Linked DNA regions of Macaca fascicularis. The protein of the gene in region 2 purifies or fractionates together with the protein of the main gene of each other region. This does not show direct contact. Links are inferred from orthologs where the notes say so. Each region holds a gene or a part of one and is shown on either strand. Other genes may lie near its edges. The genes, in order: PHB2 and ARFGEF3.

Region 1 (10,521 bases), on a different chromosome or scaffold from region 2:
CCTTGATGAGGCTGTCACTGTAGGAAAAAAAGATAGATGATGACATTATTAGGGGACATAAATGTGAGAGGCAGGACACTCCAGGCCATTCCCTCTACGACCCTCCTACCCCGATTGAGGGTTTGTCTGCGGGGAGGTGGGAAAGGGAGTAGGGTAGGAGGCAGGTACTAGGAGAAGGTGGCCTGCAGGACCCCACAGAAGTAGCAACAACTTACCTTCCTCTGTGGTGCCAGATCGCCAGATGAACAGGAAGCAGAGAAGAGAAATGCACATGTTAGCTGACAGCTTCAGGCCCCACTCAGTTTTGAACCCTCCTTTGCTCCCAAGAGAAAAGACAAACAGGGTTGACAGCCAGGAATCTCTGATTCATGAAAGGAGGTGGCGTGTTCTCATGGCCACTGCTATTTCTCATCTCCTTTCCTAACATCCCTCCCCGCACCAAAGGAGTTTGAGGGCTCTTGAGTAAGAACACTCAGTATCATCTTTCATCACTTTTTGGTTGGATGAAAACTTTATAATTAAAGTGCTTTTTATGTGAATAATCCTATTTGATCTCATAAAATCAATCCTATGAGACACAAGATAGAAACTGTCAACCACCCCCTTTTCTAATTTTGGTTCAATGTCTCTCAGAGCCATATGAATAGCTGTAGCAGGCTCCAGAGCCCAAGCACCCAGACCCAAGTCCCACGTTCTTTGTGAGACCCCACTGTGTGGTCCCATCTCTCACCTGGTGAAACTTTCATCCTGTAGGTTCAGCACGAGGTTGTCAGCCGTGAGATAAATGCGATTCTGTGATGTGGCGATCTACAGGGCAGGAAATACAAAGACCTCAATTCCACCCCTGCAATTCAGTAGCCACTTAATGGAACACATGCAGATTAGTGCAGGGATACAGCAATGAATAAGACATGGTTTCTACTCTCATTTAGGGATCTAGAGCACTGAGCAGCACCTATGACTATTAGCAAAGTAACAGAGGCAAGAACAAAAGGTCAGGGAATCCAGAGGAATCATTCTTGATGAGGGGAAAAGTACTGGAGAAGCCAATTATTTATTTATTTATTATTATTATTATTATTATTATTTTTTTTGAGACGGAGTCTTGCTGTGTCACCCAGGCTGGAGTGCAATGGCCAGATCTCGGCTCACTGCAAGCTCCGCCCCCCGGGTTCCCGCCATTCTCCTGCCTCAGCCTCCCGAGTAGCTGGGACTACAGGCACCCGCCACCTCGCCCGGCTAGTTTTTTTTTGTATTTTTAGTAGAGACAGGGTTTCACCGTGTTGGCCAGGATGGTCTCGATCTCCTGACCTCGTGATCCGCCCGTCTCGGCCTCCCAAAGTGCTGGGATTACAGGCTTGAGCCACCGCGCCCGGCTGTTTTTTATTTACTTAGTTTTTTTTTTTTTTGAGATGGAGTCTCGCTCTGTCACCCAGGCTGGAGTGCAGTGGTGCGATCTCGGCTCACTGCAAGCTCCGCCTCCCGGGTTCACGCCATTCTCCTGCCTCAGCCTCCCAAGTAGCTGGGACTACAGGTGCCCGCCACCACGCCCGGCTAATTTTTTGTATTTTTTTAGTAGAGACGGGGTTTCACCGTGTTAGCCAGGATGGTCTCGATCTCCTGACCTCGTGATCCGCCCACCTCGGCCTCCCAAAGTGCTGGGATTATAGGTGTGAGCCACTGCACCTGGCCTATTTACTTATTTTTTTTGAGACAGAGTCTCGCTCTATTGCCCAGGCTGGAGTGCAGAGGTGCTATCACGGCTCACTGCAACCTCTACCTCCCAGGTTCAAGCGATTCTCTGCCTCGGCCTCCTGAGTAGCTGGGAGTACAGGTGCCCGCTACCACGCCTAGCTAATTTTTTTTGTATTTTTTTAGTAGAGATGGGGTTTCACCATCTTGGCCAGGCTGGTCTTGAACTCCTGACCTTGTGATCCGCCCACCTCGGCCTCCCAAAGTGCTAGGATTACAGGCGTGAGCCACCACGCCCGGCTATTTATTTTTGAGACGGAATCTTGCTCTGTTGCCCAGGTTGGAGTGCAGTGGCGTGATCTCAGTTCACTGCAACCTCTGCCTCCTGGGTTCAAGTGATTCTCCTGCCTCAGCCTCCTGAGTAGCTGGGAATATAGCTAAACGCCATCACAGCAGGCTAATTTTCTTTTGTATTTTTAGTAGAGATGGGGTTTCACCATGTTGGCCAGGTGGGTCTTGAACTCCTGACCTCAGGTGATCCACTGCGCCGGCCATAAAACCACTCTGAGTAGAAACCCGAACAAGCAAGGTTCGAATTCCCTCACCTCAATGTGCCTTAACTGAAAGCACTTTCTCAAGGCAGCCCCATCAGAGACGCTGGGCTGACACACTCACCGTCTTGGAGATATTCTGGGCTGCTCGGATCTTGCGAAGTTTGATGTAGCCAGGGTTCTTGCTCAGTGCTTCTCCAAGGTGAGGAGGGTTAAGGTTCACACAAGGGCAGGTCTCAATCCCTAGCCCCGTCCTTACCACACTCCCTTGCTACAGTCCTCCTCTGGGCTGTCAGATCCAAGGTTGCGCTCAGGTGGCTTGTGCCCGCTCTACCTTGGACCCCACCTGTGGGCCTCCCTGCAGGCTGCTGCCAGGAACTAGGGGCAGCAGCAGAAATGAAGGCAAGGCCAGCAGTGCTATTGATCTGGCCTTACAGTGGGGAGTCAGGGCTCAGGTACCCCCGCTAAGATTTCAGATCTCATCTGTAGCCCCCACCCGCAACAAGGAGCCAAGGGCCAGAGAGCACGGAGTCGCATTCGCCTTAGTCTCATCAGCCTGCCCGTGAAGGAGGATGGGGAACTCAGGCGCCCTAGGGACTGGGCCGAGACCTCTCACGCAGAAGGATATCATCTTGGCAGCCTCGGCCTCACCCTCGGCCTGCACAATCTTCTGCCGCTGTTCCTGCTTCGCTTTTTCTACCAAGAATTGGGCCCGCTGGGCCTCCTGCTGGGCTGTAGCGGGAGAGAGTCAGGGAGACCGTGTGCTGGGTCAGGAACCCCGTCCACGGAGTCTTTCCTCCTCCTGCATCTCGGAAGCCCTCACCCCACTGCTCGTGCAACTCACCCACTTGTTTGGCTTCTACAGCAGCTGTGTACTCTCGGCTAAAGCTCAGCTCTGTGATGGCCACGTCATCCAGGATGAGGCTGAAGTCCTTGGCCCTCTCTGTCAGCTCCCGGCGGATCAACAGGGATACCTGGGGGCAGGGGTGGGGAAGGGTGGTTTGAGGGGACTGGGTTGCGACCCCGAATCCTTCACTCTCTCAATACAATATGCGCTGCCTTAGCTTCCTGTCAGGCAAACCTATAACATAAGCCTCTCTGCTGAAAGAGGTGCAGGAAAAGCCAAGACTTGGTCATTTTCCTCTGTGCTTCCTAATACCAAGTGCTACCGAGTTCTAATGCTGGCTCTCCTTATCTCACAGTGGCAATTAGCACAGCTTTTAGGTGGAAATGGCACTAGGGTGACAATCCTCTTCTATTAAGCTGCCTTTCCTAATTCCCAGTACTCTGGGCCTAGAAGGGAAAGGCTGACACCATGCAGATGGTGGTGGGAGTCAGACCTGGGCCCGCTGGGTGATCAGCTGTGAGGCATTGAACTTGGCCACCACACTCTTGAGCACCTCGTTGACAATGGACGGCAACACTCGTTCCTCGTAGTCCAGCCCTAGGCGCTGATACATGCTAGGAAGCTCCTGAGCATTGGGTCGAGACAGCACTCGCAGGGAGATGTTCACCATCTGTAGGTCTGAGATTGAGGTCAGCAGTGGCTGGTCAAGGCCAAACACCCTTTCCCAAGCATTTTTCTCCTTCATGTTCCTCCCTATATGCCCTGTGCAATGATGTACAGCCTGGCACTGCCCTGGGGGGAGGAGAGTTAATCAGGCTGACAAGGAACACATGAAGCAGCACAGGTGAAATGCACCCTCACCCACTGTGAAGCCTGGAACTGCAACCCCGTCACCAGCAGGGCTGACTGCTCTTTCCCCCTCTGTACTCCATGCAACCTCTAATGTGGGTGCTTTCACGCTGTACCGTAATCACGTCTCCTGTAAGGACTTGGGGGACAAAAATGTGCTTAATGAATCTTGTATTCCAGGGCCCAGCAGTCTAGTAAATGAATAAGCCACCTGCACTAGGTATAGTACAAAGAAGTACATTACAGGTTACAGGTGACCTACCTCACCCAGGGTGTATGCGTGTGTGCGTGTGTGTGTGTGTGTGTGTGTGTGTGTGTGTGGAGGAGGAAGAGGTCTGGGAAACTCAAAGGCATGGCTTTTATGTGTGGTCTAGAAGGAGAGAACAGGTGAACTAGTCAAGGGTAGGGACAAACTTCTCCTGAACAGAGTATACTAGTGGATGTAACTGTAGATATAGTAAGTCAAGCAGTTAGAAAAAAAGGCTTTAAAACAAGGCTTTGATCTAGGCAGTGCATAAGACAAAAGACAAACAATACTCTTAATGAATACGTCAGGGATGAGACAGTAGAAAGCACGCAAACACAGGGTGTTCAGAATGTGCTGCTTTGACCCCGGGAGGCAGGTATTTTTGTTACAGTTCTTGCAGACATGGAAACTAAGGCCTAAAGGCCTGACACTACCATCTTCACCTGGGGTTTCTTGCCAGCTCCCTTGATCATCCCACCTGCCATGTGATTACCAAGTGCTCAGACCTACCTTTGGAGCCTGTAGGGGAGGAGATTTTTCGAGGTCTGGCCCGAATGTCATAGATAATGGGGTACTGGAACCAGGGGATCCTGGAGGGGACAGGGATAGGTATTAAGAGGCCGCAGTTTCGGCCAGGAGCGGTGGCTCACGCTTGGAATCCCAGCACTTTGGGCGGCCGAATCATTTGAGGTCAGAAGTTCGAGACCAGCTTGACCTATATAGTGAAACCCCGTCTCTACTAAAATACAAAAATTAGTCGGGCGTGGTGGCGGGCGCCTGTAATCCCAGCTAATCGTGAGGCTGAGGCAGGAGAATCGCTTGAACCCAGGAGGCGGAGGATGCAGTGAGCCGAGATCGCGCCACTGCACTCCAGCCTGGGCGACACAGCAAAACTCCCGCGCCCCCCTCCCCAAAAAAAGCCGCAGTTTCACTAGCTTTGCCCGGTTTCCCCTCACCAGGCGTTTTTTGGCCTGCTCCTCCCCATGACCACCGACAAGGAGAGATTCTCTTGTCCCTTTCGAAAACAACAGTTCATATGCTGCTGGAGGTTCGCGCAGCACCCACTATCCTACGAGCAGGGATGAGGAGAGAGGGAAAAGAGCAGCGTTGAATCCTGTTGCACGTCCCACTACAGCCACTGCTGGGTCGGCGTCAAGGGTGAAAGGTCAGGGTCAGTAAGCTCTGCCCGCCATTACCTGAAGTGAAGGCCCTCGGCCAGGATAGTGTCCTGCTGCACTCCACCGATCCGATTGAAGAAGATGGCTCTGTGCCCGCCTTCCACTGTGGGGAGAGGGGTGGTGATCAGGCCAGGCCGCTGCTCAGAGTAAATGCTAGCTAGGCTCGTGGTGGGGCGCGGGGACCGGTGAGATAGGGCAAGGGGTTTGGGGGAGGGACTGGAAGCGTCCGGCGAGCAGGCGAAGGTTGCTCACCAGTGAACACGGATTCGCGGACACCGTACGCCACGGCGCCGGCCCCCAGCAACAGCTTCAGCGCCGTGCCCATGCCCCGGGGCCCGGCGGGCAGCCGTCCCGCCAAGTCCTTCAAGTTCTGGGCCATGTCTGATCTTGAGGCCGGCGGCACCGGAGGTCAGAAGGGGGTGCCGGCCCGCCTCTACCCCGCTGCAGCTTAGGTACTGCACCCTTCACACGAGGGTTCGGGCCCGTAATGCTGGCGAAAGAAAGGGCACCGGAAGTGCGCTCCCTTGGAAACCCTCCCCCTTAGCCCACTACCGACCCGAACTTCGCGCACAGGAAGAGCGCATACGGAAGTCCCGCCCCTTTCTGGAGGGCTGCCCTCCCAGGGAGGGCAGCGCAAGACGGCAAGTCATCGCCATTTACAAGCCCACTTTCAAAATGGCAGCCGGAAGGAAATTTGTGATTAGAAGCCTCACTGTTCTCATTTAAGAGCGTTAGCGCAACTTCCGGTCTGGTTGCAAGATGGCCGCGCCCAGTGGTGGATTCAAGCCTCGTGAACGAAGCGGTGGGGAGCAGGCACAGGACTGGGATGCTGTGCCACCCAAGCGGCCCCGACTAGGGGCAGGAAACAAGATCGGAGGCCGTAGGCTTATTGTGGTGCTGGAAGGGGCCAGTCTGGAGACAGTCAAGGTAGTTTGGGACAGGAAGTGGATAAGTAGTAAATCAATAGACTGGGATCCGTGGAATGAGGGTGAGGGGCTCAGAGTGGATGGAGAAAGCAGAGAGGGGTGAAAGATGCTTTTGAAGGAAGATGGGTTGGTTGGCTGTGCGTTGATCTGACATCCTGGGATGGTAGTGCTCATTTTTCTTTTTCTTTTTTTTTTTTTTTTGAGATGGCGTTTCGCTCTGGCGCCCAGGCTGGAGTGCAGTGGCGCGATCTCGACTCACTGCAACCTCTGCCTCCCGGGTTCAAACAATTCTCCTGAATCAGCCTCTGGAGTCGTTGGGACTACAGGCACGCGCCACCATGCCCGGCTAATTTTTTGGGTTTTTTTAGTAGAGATGGGGTTTCACTATGTTGGCCAGGCTGGTCTCGAACTCCTGACCTCAAGTGATCCGCCCGCCTCGGCCTCCCAAAGTGCTGGGATTACAGGCGTGAGGCACCGTGCCCGGCCGGTAGTACTCATTTTCTTTTGCTCTTCTTGAATGCCATTCCAGCCCTCACCTCTTTGCTTCCAACTGGTTTACCAGGATTCTGTGATACAGTAGTCTAAGGAGAGGAAAGTTTCGTTTGTTGCATCATTCCACATCCCAAGACAAGTTACTGGGCGGATGAGAAAGGTAGTTATGTAGCCTAGTCTGCCCTCCCTTTTTGTAAGGGCTTCATGTTTCAATTCATTAGTGTCCATAGTCACCTCTCTCTAATATCCACCTGGAAACACTGTCCAGACCAGGTTATTGTTTAACACTTTTACGTCTGCATTTTTATCTATCATTCATGTCTTTCTCCACATGTAATAAATAGAACCAGCAATTCTCTATCTTAAAGCCTTGGGCAATGTTCTTCCTCCTTTCTCTTACCCTTTAGAAATAATTCAATGAGTAGGCCCAGGAGAAATTGCATGGGTTTAGAAGTCAGACCAGGATTTTAGTCTTCGTTCTAAATACACTTTGTGTGTGCATGTGTGTGTGTGTGTGCGCGAAACAGAGCCTCAGTCTCTCCCAGGCTGGAGTGTAGTGGCATGATCTTGGCTTACTGCAGCCTCCGCCTCCCGGGTTCAATCGATTCTCCTGCCTCAGCCTCCAGAGTAGCTGGGATTACTGGCCTGCACCTGTAATCTATTAAAGGAATAGAAAACATGGTTATATCCTACTAATGGGTTGAAACTATTATTCATTCAAGAAGGTTTTTTCTTCTATAACTAAGGATGTCTCATGGACTTAGTTCTTCGTCATTTGTTCTTTCTTTGTGCTTACTCTGTGACATTGCTACTTCAACTATTCAATTTCAAAATCTGTATCCCTTTTTTCGCAGACTTTTTGGAGCCATGTATCTCAAGAATGTTGCTAGACATATACAAACATTCTAGTGATACATAAAAACTTAGCCTTCCAGCCGGGCGCGGTGGCTCAAGCCTGTAATCCCAGCACTTTGGGAGGCTGAGACGGGCGGATCACGAGGTCAGGAGATCGAGACCATCCTGGCTAACACGGTGAAACCCCGTCTCTACTAAAAAACACAAAAAAACTAGCCGGGCGAGGTGGCGGGGGCCTGTGGTCCCAGCTACTCCGGAGGCTGAGGCCGGAGAATGGCGTAAACCCGGGAGGCGGAGCATGCAGTGAGCTGAGATCCGGCCACTGCACTCCAGCCTGGGCGACAGAGCCAGACTCAGTCTCAAAAAAAACAAAACAAAACAAAAAACTTAGCCTTCCAAAACCTGTATTTGTATATAACAGTTTGTTTTTAGGCTTTTTACTGACCACCCTAATGCTCCTTGGGACTCCAAATTGCAACTTGGAATTATTTCTTTTAGCTGCTACAGATGTAGTCCACTTCTTTATCATCAAACTTCTGATGTCTTTTTCAGTGTACACAGAGTTGTTAGGATAGTGTCTGTCAGTCATTCCCATCCTGCCCTTCTTACTCCAGATTTTTGGCTTTGTGCTCGATACATTAGGATTTTGTGGTTTACAAAGCAGCTTCATATATAATCACTGCCCTTCAGTGTCCCAGCTCCCAATTTTCCTCAAAATTTCCTTTCTTCGTTTCCACTTTTTTGTTTCTTTTTTGAGACAGGGTCTCGCTCTGTTGCCCAGGCAACAGAGTGCAGTGGTGTGATGGCTCACTGCAGCCTCTACCTCCCTGGCTCAAGCAGTCCTCCCACCTCATCCTCCTGAGTAGCAGGGACTGCCAGCAAATGCCACTGCACCTGTTTTTTTTTTTTTTTTTTTGGTGAGACAGGGCCCCACCGTGTTGCCCAGGCCGGTCTCAAATTCCTGGGCTCAAGTGATCCTCCCGCCTCGGCCTCCTAACTTGTTGGGATCACAGGCATGAGCCACCACACCTAGCTACTTTTTCTTGATTCTAACTGTACCTCTGCTCATGCCAATCTTTTTTTTTCTTTTTTTGAGACAGGGTCTTGCTCTGTCACCCAGGCTGGAGTAAAGTGGTGCAATCTTGGCTCACTGCAACCTCCATCTCCCAGGCTCAAGCCATCCTCCCACCTTAGCCTCCCAAGTAGCTAAGACTACAGGCATATGCCACCACACCCAGCTAGTTTTTGTATTTTTAGTAGAGATGAGGTTTTGCCATGTTGCCCAGGCTGGTCTTGAACTCCTGACCTTAAGTGATTTGCCTTCCTTGGCCTCCTAGAGTGCTGAGATTACAGGCTTGAGCCACTGCACCTGTCCCCATGCCAGTCTTAAAACTGGGAATAACCCCTCTTCATTTTACTTCTGCGTTTTCTTTGATTCAGCTGCCTCCTGCATCATTAGAATTTTCACATTTCTTCTTGTTCAGATTTGCAGCTCTTCACTTAGTGCATGTTTGGTGTACGCAAACTGATGGTAGTGATGGTATGTTTTGCATAGTACATACATACTGCTCCTGTGATAAACAAAGCATTCAGCCTTGCTCACTAACTACTAACTCCTGCCTAGTTCCAGGATGTCTCATTGGCCTTGCCTAACAGCCACAGGTTTTAAAATTAAATCCAGTGTATTGGTAGGTAATGTGAAGTCACAGGTTGTGCCCTTTCTCCTGTTTCCAAGACCATTTACTGGGGAGTGCAAATATGGCTGCACAGTAATCTCCTGAAGGGCTTGCTGGGCTCCACCTCCTGTGTTTTTGGTTTAGTAGGTCTAGGGTGGGCCTGAGAATTTGCCTAACAGGTTTCCAGATGCAGCTGCTGGTGGTGGTGGGCTAGGTAATGCTGTTCTTTGGTCATGTTCCCTGTTCTTCAGGTAGGGAAGACATACGAGCTACTCAACTGTGACAAGCACAAGTCTATATTGTTGAAGAATGGACGGGACCCTGGGGAAGTGCGGCCAGACATCGCCCACCAGGTAACTCCAGGGACAGTGCTCACAACCCTTTGAGCCTCTGTTTGGAAGGGTTGGCAGCTGAGTGCTGCCTCTCTTCAGCCTTAACCATGCCGTGGTTTCTGCTTTGCTCAGAGTTTGCTGATGCTGATGGATAGTCCCCTGAACCGAGCTGGCTTGCTACAGGTTTATATCCATACACAGAAGAATGTTCTGATTGAAGTGAATCCCCAGACCCGAATTCCCAGAACCTTTGACCGCTTTTGTGGCCTCATGGGTAAGAAGCCTTAGAACAAAGTTCAGAATGAACTTGTCTGTAGGGAAGAAGGGAGGAAGAGGAAAAGGGAGAACTAAATGTCGGATTTTTAAGCGAGGAGATGGGAGAACAACATGATTAATACCAGGACAAGGACTCCTATTATTTTTCTGTTTGTGGAAACTCCACTCTCCTGTTCTTGCAGTAGCTTCCTGGCTGAGTGAAAGACGGAGTCTGAACCTATCACTGTACAGCTAGCCATATGCTTGGCAACTGTTCGTTCCTAACATTTCAGGAGTCCAGTCTGGATATAGAGCACACAGGGAACTCATCTTACCTATGGGGTTTTCCTTGTTAGATAATGACTGGACAGAGAAGGACGATGGTCTCCATTTACCTCTGAACTCTTTTTCCCCCTTCTAGTTCAACTTTTACACAAGCTCAGTGTTCGAGCAGCTGATGGCCCCCAGAAGCTCTTGAAGGTGAGGTATTGAAACCTACTAGTTGAAGGTTGGTTCTGGGAATGTTTCTGGGGCTGACTTTTCTCTTTTTCACTTTAGGTAATTAAGAATCCAGTATCAGATCACTTTCCAGTTGGATGTATGAAAGTTGGCACTTCTTTT
Region 2 (9,889 bases):
TCCCATCATGCCACACCTGGATATTCTATCACATTGTTTCAACTGAAGTGAAACCCAGCTTATCAAAAGCATTCATCTTTGTTCAGCTTTGCCTATTTTATGGGAAATCAATTTTTATTAGAGAGAAGCACTCCCAATAAGAACCAGATGAGAGAAATGCAGGACAAAGCAGCTTGCACATAATCCCGAGGTAGCCAGGGATGCTCACTGGGGCTGGCAGTGTCAGGGCCCGAGTCTCCCTAACTTTAGGAAGAAACATAATCTTTTATATATTAGTTCAACAGATTGGCTTTCGGATTCCCTCCTCTCCTTTTTGGCACCGGTTGGTAAAACAAAAATAAGTTATTCTTAGAGATTGCCTTTTGAAATTTAATTTTAAAATTAGTGTTACTAAAAGAACTAAATGCACAAATACTTTCCAAAACTTATGGGAAGAAAAAAAAGAACTCTTCAATTATTACCATCCACAGAGCCAAAAACTCTGTGGATTGTCTCCTTGATGTCATTAACATTCTGATATGCTTTCTGATCTCACTAATTCTAGTAAATATAATCATTTCCTTCCATTCCTATAATAGTCTAAATTAATTTAAATGAGTCAGTATATTAAGCAGAAGTCTTTAGAGAAACCTCATTGAATCAATAAGCATTACATGTAATTAATACAGTTTATAAATAGGTGATGATTGTTAAGTTACTTGTTTTTTTCTTAAATCATTCTCCCTATGGTCCTTAACTTTTTTTTAATGGTAAAAGAATTTCCAAAGCTAATTAATTAAATAAAGAAGAGATAAACTAAGGCCCCCTCTATATGAGTTAACATGATTTCACTGAATTCCCAAAGCACACTGATTATTTTTATATTTTTCCCGTTATTTGGAAGATGAAATAATGAATATGGTCTCCACCATGTAGGTATGTGCACAAACACAACATATTTACTGAAAAGTCAAAACAGGCACACCTACTGCTTAAAAGGGAATTGGTTCATTTTGCAAATTTCCATGAAGCCTTTGGGTAGACTCTTCACAGATATATATGAAATTGAAATGTTAATTTATGCCAGACAGTTAAATGAAAGATGAAGGTACAACAAGTAGTCTCATCTCAAAGGGCTAATATTTTGGTGGCCAATGAGAGATGTAAAACAACTGGCAAGCAAGCAACTATTAAAAAATCTGTAAGCCAGGAGCCAAGGCTGTAAAGGAGCCTACATGGAAACATCTCATTAAAACGATATGGACGGAAGAAATTCAAACACTACACACTTAAATTTAAAATCACCTTCAATACAAGTCAAAGGGTCAACATGATACAAATGATCATCCATAGAATCAATGTTTCTAAATACAAAGACGAGAAGCTTAGATTGATCTCACTGTTCCATAGAACTTATACATTCATTGTCTTCTAGCTTGTAAAAACCAATTGTTGGTATAATAAAACTGGAAACTGGGAAGATTGAGCAAGACTGCTGTATAGAATCCAATCCCAAGTTGTCTGCCCAAGGATAGATTCAGTTTTTCTCTAGCGTTTGATAAGTCAGGTTGATCTTAAAGGTAGTAGTTGGAAACTTTTTCAAGGCAGTGGTTCTCAAAGCATAGTTCCCAAAACAGCAGTATTGGCCTCACCTATAAACTTGTTAGAAATGCAAATTTCCTGATTTACTTAACTGGAAACTCTGAGCAGGAGCCCAGCAATCTGTGTCTTAACAGGCCCTCCAGGTGATACTGATGTGTACTAAAGTTTGAGAACCACTGTTCTAAAGACAAAAGATATGGGACAACCACTGGTTAAACCTTCAGGATAGGAATTAACAGTAAAAACAGTTTTTGGTGGTTGAAAAGGGTGGAAGGACCATAATTAGATGGAATTCACCAGCAGTGGAGTGCCATTTTGTCACCAAAGTGGTCAGCCACTCTTCCTCCCTGGTACCCCTTTGTAGTATTGTACAAAGATACAGAGAAAAGGTTTTGTATGGTGCTCGTGGTGTGGTAGTGGTTTCTCTTCAATGATAGAATGGTACCACAATTTATAAAGAAACTGATGATCTCAGGAGATATTTTTGGTCTGTCTTCCCTGAAATAAGAATTGTGTTTTGGAAATCTAAAGGGTGTTCTGTTCCAAAATCTTAAGTTATTATTTCCACATCAAATAGCAAACACTACAATATAGCCAGAGAAAAAGGATCTTCCAAACAAACAAAAAAGGTATGTTTTCTAGATTGCTCCACTACTAAATGAGAACTTTTTTTTGAGGAGGCGTAATTATAAATCAAGTTCTTGACCAAGTTTACAAATCTTTCCCAGTAACAAGCTCATATTTCCAATAAAAAGTGCTCTTTTGCTTTCCTAAGGCCACACTAAATCTCCCTGGGGTCACCTAAGTGGTGCCCAAGCATATTGAAGTCTTGTCATCTGCTTACTGCAAGACTCTGGATTTTCCTTCTGCCTGTTTCTTTGTCTGTAAAACAAGTGGAAATGTGTAGATGTTATGGCACATGGTTACTAAGGATGTCGACTTGATGCCCTTAGCACCTGGTTCTTCAAGCAATCTTGTCCAACCAGCTGCTTCCTCTTCAGAGAATGTACATTTTGAAAAATGGTTATCCATTATTTTGCATATTCCCAAACTTTGTGCTACAAATTTAGTACCATGTATTTCCCAGAGAAGCAAGTAAAGAGGCACTGTTGGCTACAGGGCACTTTATTCTGAGTTGATTAAATGATATTTGAAAAAGGTTTACAAATCGTGCATGCCATTCTAGACACAGGCTGCCATGTACTTCTGTGTTAACAGCTGGCCATGAACAGTATTATTCCATCATTTCTGCCTAATTCAGTGAGTTTTCTAAAGTAACACTGAATGTCTGCTTGAAGATTAAAGTTTAGATTTTGGCTTTATTTTCAAACACTTGAAATGTGTTACATATGATTTTTTAATGTATAAACACGATTCATTTTCTTTTTTCAACTTTATTTTTAAAAACCTCCGTAACATCCCAGACAGATCTGAGATGTCAAATAGTCTCATTTTAATGGCCTCATTCCTTGAAACTTTTTCTCATACTAGAGTGCTTACTCTGTGGACTTACAGCATGTTGTCAGAGAGAGTATGGCCTTTGAATTCAGAAACACCTCTTTTGCAACCAACTTTGCCTTTTGCTTGTTATCTTGGGCAAGTTTCTGAACCTCTCTGGGTCTGTGTTCTCATCTGAAAAAATGAGGAACACAATACTTGTCTCACAAGGTTGTTGTGAGGACTACGTGTGATAATACAGGTAAAGGTTTGCAATCACAGTGACATTCACCACTCTCTTCCTCCCTGCTATTTGTAACCTCTTGTTATTACTGTCAGCTCTACACAAAGGTCTTCATTCTGTTTACTTTGATGGGACTGATACTGATGGATTTTCCTTTCTGGTAAAATCAAGGATATCTATTACATAACTGCATTACCTTCTCACAGCCAAGGCTATTTTAAAACAACAAGGACGAAAAGCCTAATGATCATTGTACCAATATGTTTCAATTTCAAGGAACTTTTGAATTATATCAACATTTTTGTCATGTTTGATTTAAAATTTTTATTTTTATTTACTTTTTTTGAGAAGAAGTCTCACTTTGTCACCCAGGCTAGAGTGCAATCTTGGTTCACTGCAACCCCCACCTCCCAGGTTCAAGCAATTCTCCTGCCTCAGCCTCCCAAGTAGCTGGGATTACAGGTGGCTGCCACCATGCCCAGCTAATTTTGTATTTTTAGTAGAGACAGGGTTTCACCATGTTGGCCAGGTCTCAAACTCCTGACCTCAAGAGATCTACCTGCCTCAGCCTCCCAAAGTGCTGGGATTACAGGCATGAGCCACCATGCCTGATTTAAAGTATTTTAATGAGAGCTGTTAAGTATGTTAGTATCTGTCTGGGTTCTTATTGGTCAGTCATTACATAGACCCCAAATAATAAAAGTGTTCTAGTTTTATATCTATGGTAAGGGCTGGAAAATTATCATAAGAGGAGAGAAGATTGTGTAAAAAGGCAGTCTATTTTTAAAATATGATCAGGAGACACAAGAGCTAGGTGAGATGCTATGGACAGTGCATGAGGTTCAGTTGTGAAAACCGATGTCCTCATTAATGACAGAGAGAACTCTGTCCCTCCATACACTTGGCTGGGCCATCATCAGTCCCAGGTCTCTTATACTTGGAGTTTTCCAGATGTTTGTTTCATGAAGCACACTTTACCAAAATTTAGGAAAAGAAGAGAAAGATCTCAACTTTAGGGTAATAAAGTTTTGGCTATAAATACAGGCAACTAAAAACAATGTATAAACTTTCATTCTGCTTAGGTCTGTAAATACATGCTAATAACTGTTCTTCACTTTAAAAGGCTGCTTTGAATTTTGTCTTACTGTTGCTGCAAAAGAGACTGTGAGGAGAGAAACACCTGACACTTTCAGAGACTGGGAGGGAGTGAAACAAGTTTGGGGGTGGGCAGCTGAGTCACAGGAACAGGGCAAGAGACTGAGCTGGGCGGTCTGGGAAAGTGCCACTCCCCTCTCAGTGTTCTTCATCTCCTCCCTTGCTTCTCCACCTGCTGGGAAGAATCACCTGAAGGCCTACTTATTAGAGACTACTTTGCATCAAGCTGCAAATACCTCTGAGAAGTACTGCTGTCACTCAGTGATGCTTCTGGTTGAAATCTGATGTCAGTGTGGATGTCCAGTAACTCAAGTGCAGAGTATGTCAGGACTGGGTTATAGAGAAGACAATGGGAAGGTACCAAAACACTCTTTAAATTATAGGTCAAGAGCTCTGTACACCTTCTCATCCTTTTATTCTTGGGACCCATATTCAGGCTAGAACTAGAACAGTGTTCGGACACAGTATAGGGTAAACTTATGTTCAAGAATTTTGGATCCCATAATAGAGCATCAGGGAGAATGCTGATTTCCAAATAACTAACATACTTTGGGACACAGTATTCACAATTATCATTTTTTTAGATGGAGTTTCACTCTTGTCGCCCAGGCTGGAGTGCAATGGCACAATCTCGGCTCACTGCAACCTCCGCCTCCTGGGTTCAAGCGATTCTCCTGTCTCAGCCTCCTGAGTAGCTGGGATTACAGGTGCATGCTACCACACCTAGCTAATTTTTGCATATTTGGTAGAGACGGGGTTTCACCATGTTGTCCAGGCTGGTCTCAAACTCCTGACCGCATGTGATCCGCCCACCTCGGCCTCCCAGAGTGTTGGGATTACAGGCATGAGCCACTGCGCCCAGCTGGTATTCACAAATTGAGACAGCTTCCTTTGAATTTTTCTACTTTATGAAAAGTTGCTATGTATAAATACTGTAATTCTGGCCTCTGCTTTACTGAGGCCTTTTCCCCCAGTAAACTGTGGAGTACTTGCAGGTTCACAAAGAAGAACTGAACCTCAGGTAAGCTATAAAAAGAAACAAAACAACTGTGGTGTTACTTCTGTTGGAAAATAAAAAAAAAAAAGCAGTTATCCAACTTTCAATTCCATTTATAAAGTATAAAAATTCAAAAGTATACAACATAGTTCACTGATATCCCAACAATTCATTGCCTTTTAAGATCAAATAGCTGATTACCTGTTTCTAAACTTGAATTATTGTCTAGTGAGTGAAAAATGAAGGCAAACAGAGTGTTCTGTGGAACTGGGAAAAAAATGGATTCTGTGGTGATCTCTAGATGGCACACAGAATGATAAGGGTCTTTCTTTCAGATCACCTGAAGAAGTCACAACACTGCCTTCCTCTTAACCTCTAAGTTAGTTCCATGTTTCTCAAGGAGGGCAAAGTTTGCAAATACCCTTTTAAATCCGTGTTTCAAGACTGCAGAATTTGTCTTTTATTTAAAGGGTGACTTATTCATTACGAATAGAGCTGAGAAATTATAATGTATGCCTTAACAACTAACTCTGCTCTGTAGAATGTGTGTAAGTAAGCTTGATTGAGGAGTTTTCAATCATTAGGATAATGTAAAAATACTGTAAATAATAAGATAAAGCTTTCAGTACTTAGAAATATCCACCTGAAATATTGGTCTGAATGAAAAGACATCAAACGTAGGGTAACTTTACTTGCTAGATAGGAGAAATATTTTAAATAGACAAAATTTTCTAAATTTCAGTGTCTTTCTCCATTGCCTTCATTTTATGAGACTTGCGCTTGTGTAACTGACACCATAATTTTGCAAGATTGTTGTGTTATATTTTAAGATTGAAAATGATTTCATCATAATCTATCCCTAGCCCACACTCCCTGCTCCCTTCCTGAGTCCCTTTCCTCCAAGTGTGTTGATATAAAATGAGTTGTGTTTTACTGTTTTGTTGTCTTAAAAACCAAACGTTATACCTTACGTTCAGATAATTGTGGGGCATGGAAATGTAAGTGCAACAAAAGACTAAGGCACCATTTTTTCTTTCCTTTCCTTGTTTGCCTTGGGGACGGAAGCAAACACCACGAGAACAGCCAGGGTGGCTGGTCGGTCTCATGTCTCTCGACGATCTATGTATCAGCCACTTTCACTGGGTACTCTGTGTCACAGGCTGACAAGCCACAGACTTCAAACCCTGCTAGGAAAGAACTTTCTTCTTTTAGACATACAGAAATCATACAGAAATCAAGGCACAACAGTACCTTATATGGGGAAATTGGTGAATAGCTGAAAATCTTATTTAGGAATAATTTTGAAGTGTTCTGGATTATTTTACAACAGAAGTCACCTCTTTCTTGATTATGACACCCAAGAATATGTTTTTATAGTTGTCTTCTTCCCAGCCAAACCCATAATCATAAATCTTCCTCCAGTTAATAATCCCTGGTACTAGATGTCTGAGTTTACATATCAGCTTGATTTACCAGCAGATATTGCCTTAGGAATTATATTTATTTTTAAGATGATAGATCAATATAGTGTTTTCAAATGAGTAACCCTTGAAAATGACCCATTTGGGGACAATGCTGTAAGCAAAAGCACTGGGAAATATACTTCAAGAGTTAGAAACATATCAAGGATTATAGATTCTTCTATAATAATGTGCAAAATCAGAATATCGTTTGTGTCATCTAGATACAAACCTTAGCATGGCCCCAATGCTGATCAGTGGTTGGAAAGGCTTTTTACATTAGGAAACATTGTTCTCTGAGACACTAGTTTAAGTGGGGCTGGTGGTGGGGAAAACGCAACAGTTGGATAGGCAGGCAGACTCTAACCCTCACTACTGCTGTTTGGTGGCGGAGTGGAATAGGAGTCTGCTACACAATGATGTCTACACAATGATGTCATAGACACGGCCCACCCTGCCCAGCCACTCCCTCACAGCCTGGCGAACTCTGATGTCAGTCACGTGACAGGTCAGCTGACTGATGCACGGGAACACTGCGGGCTGGAGGGCCGTAAAGGTCTGGTCTGGGAGAATCTGAATCTGATTGAGAACTGTTAGCACCATGTTGGTCCATGCCTAAGAGAAAGGATTTAAGAAAATTAGTGGCTTTCCCCCCTGGTTTTATTTGAACACTTGAGAGCGGCCCTGCCAATGTGGAAATGGTTTTTTTTTTCAGGCTGTAGTTGCAATAAATTAGTTTTTGTTCATTTAATATGCCTGTAATAAATTGTAGGCATATTAATTTATTATGCCTACATCATAATTTCACATCCATAAAGATGGGCAGAGATTCGCCTTATTTTCAGCTTTCACAAACTACTAAACTCTTACTCCTTAGATTAGAAAAAACAAAAGCAAAAATAAAAAACCTCCCTTGCCTTCTCACAATGAGATCTCCATAGGCCATTCATCTCAAACTCATTTTTTGATGCACCATAGAATTACACTCTAAGCCCCCCTGAAGATTGAGAATTTTTATGTGCACAGGATGGGCTAGAAAAAGTTGAGATGAAAACAATTTGAAAAAAGTTAATTGGCATAACCACACAATATTTGCTTTTTTCGTTTGTATAATGCTTCATAACTACAGAATTTCTTCAGTGCCATTTTTGAATGACACACTAAGAACTCGATGCCAGTTAAAGCTTACTTTTTTTAAGACAGGGTTTCCCTATGCATCCAAACTGGTGTGCAGTGGCACTATCTCAGCTCACTGCAACCTCTACCTCCTGGGATCACGCAATCCTCCTGGCTCAGCCTCCCAAGTAGCTGGGATTACGGGCATGTGCCACCTTTCCCAGCTAATTTTTGTATTTCTTTTTTTGTAGAGATGGGTTTTGCCTTGTTGTCCAGGCTGGTCTTGAAAAAGCTTACATTTTATAAGCTTTAGCCTCATCTTATTTATACAGCTAAGTTCCTAATTTTCAATAATACACATTACAATGGAGAAAAACAGTTCCTGAAATTACCTGAGAGTAAAATTCCAGCTTCATAATGATATACTGATACTGGGAAATCCTGCACTTAGGCTCGGGCAGTCCTCTGACTTTGGAGGGAAATTGGTTCGTACTCCCTACCTGTTTCTATAAATTAGCCTGTGTGAGCCTGCTCTGCAAGGGGGGCCCATTCAGTACTGGAAACCCAGCTTCCCGCCCACCTCCTCTGGCCGCAGGGGTGTACCTGGATCTGTGCTTCTGCGTCTCTCACCGAGACACTAAGGGAGCTGCCGGTGGAGCCTGAGCGGGGCCTCTTGTCCTGTCGCAGCAGCTCGGGGCCTGCGCTGAAGGAATGCCGCATTTGCCCTTGGTCCATCAAGTGCTGGGGACGCTGAAGCAGTGGGGAGTCCTGGCCCCTGGGACCCAGTGGCTCTCCTTTCTTCTCCACTTTGACCTCTTTGGGGAACGCGGCCAGGTTGTGCTGCTGTTTCCTCTTTTTGTATTCGGTCATCAACTTTGAAATGGTCTTGTCGGCCGCCATGGTGTAGATTTTGTTGCCTGCATTCTCCCACCACTCCTTCTTCCGGCTGGGATCCTTCTTCTCTACTTTGGGGCTGGGGGGCAGCAGCAGCAGGTCCCCACCAGCGGTCTTCAGGCTCAGGGACTCGCCCGTGTGCTCCCGGCACTGGCTTCTGTCGTCCTCGGAAGGGGTTTCTTTCCCAGAGAAGCCCCCCGTGGATGGGGTGGATGACTCGGACTGGAAGGAGGGCAGGATGAAGAATGGGTCGCCCTTGAAGATGGGAGGCTCCTCCAAACAGTTCTCCAGGTCCAAGTGCATCTGGATGTAGTTGTTGCACAGTTCCATGCACAGCTTGTGCAGCCTCTTGACCAGCCACACCCAATCTGCGTTGCTGACAGGCTGGACGCTGAGCAAGGGCATCCGTGCCCGCCACTGTCTCTTCTCCTTGCCTCTCGGGGGGCTGACCTGGGCGGTTTCCTCAAAGATGTCTTCATCCTCCGATGAACACTGCTGGGAAGAATCTGTGCTTCTCTCGTCGTCCTCAAAAAGGACCTTCTTCACTTGCTCGGCCGTGATGGTTTCTTGATTGGTGAGAACAGCACACACCAGGGCGTGGAAATAAATGTTAAAGCTCATCGCAGACTGACGGTAGAGGTTGGCGGCGCCCCCGATGCCAGACACTTTCTTCAGCAGGCACTTCAGCCCGGGGCTGGTGTCAAACTCCCTGGCAGTCCTGTAAGAGTCCAGCAGCAGGTCGAATATGACTGCCAAGTTCTGCATGGAGATGTATCTGAGGAAGCCAGCCAGCTTGGCTTCTGGCACTTGGATCGTCTTTTCCTCTCCAGGAGAGGGGCCTTTGACAAACTCTTCTAACAAGATGTCATATAAGTTCTGGAGTAACACCTGATGGGACAGCAGGCTCACCACAATTTCCCTGAAAGACACGCTTCAAGTGAAAAGAGAGGGATCGATGAATGGTTTTCTGCCCTACATCAGGTATTTCAAAGCAATATAGACGTT

Evidence for each region.
Region 1: the proteins of ARFGEF3 (region 2) and PHB2 purify together in Homo sapiens (affinity purification with western blotting; 4 studies listed by BioGRID). This does not show direct contact. The link is inferred for Macaca fascicularis from reciprocal best matches to the Homo sapiens genes ARFGEF3 and PHB2.

Annotation. Positions count from the first base shown.
Region 1 is NC_088385.1:7,905,630-7,916,150, forward strand, and holds the start of PHB2 (prohibitin-2), read right to left. Parts: upstream 5,869-10,521; 5' UTR 5,744-5,868; coding exon 5,617-5,743; intron 5,468-5,616; coding exon 5,383-5,467; intron 4,777-5,382; coding exon 4,697-4,776; intron 3,769-4,696; coding exon 3,584-3,768; intron 3,218-3,583; coding exon 3,088-3,217; intron 2,976-3,087; coding exon 2,872-2,975; intron 2,803-2,871; exon of another isoform or gene 2,534-2,802; intron 2,446-2,533; coding exon 2,368-2,445; intron 808-2,367; coding exon 731-807; intron 320-730; coding exon 216-319; intron 18-215; coding exon 1-17. Other genes in the region: EMG1 (ribosomal RNA small subunit methyltransferase NEP1), read left to right, coding at 6,124-6,291, 9,565-9,666, 9,778-9,919, 10,322-10,380, 10,459-10,521.
Region 2 is NC_088378.1:42,370,076-42,379,964, reverse strand, and holds part of ARFGEF3 (brefeldin A-inhibited guanine nucleotide-exchange protein 3), read right to left. Parts: intron 9,816-9,889; coding exon 8,594-9,815; intron 7,490-8,593; coding exon 7,298-7,489; 3' UTR 1-7,297. UniProt on the Homo sapiens protein: Participates in the regulation of systemic glucose homeostasis, where it negatively regulates insulin granule biogenesis in pancreatic islet beta cells. Also regulates glucagon granule production in pancreatic alpha cells.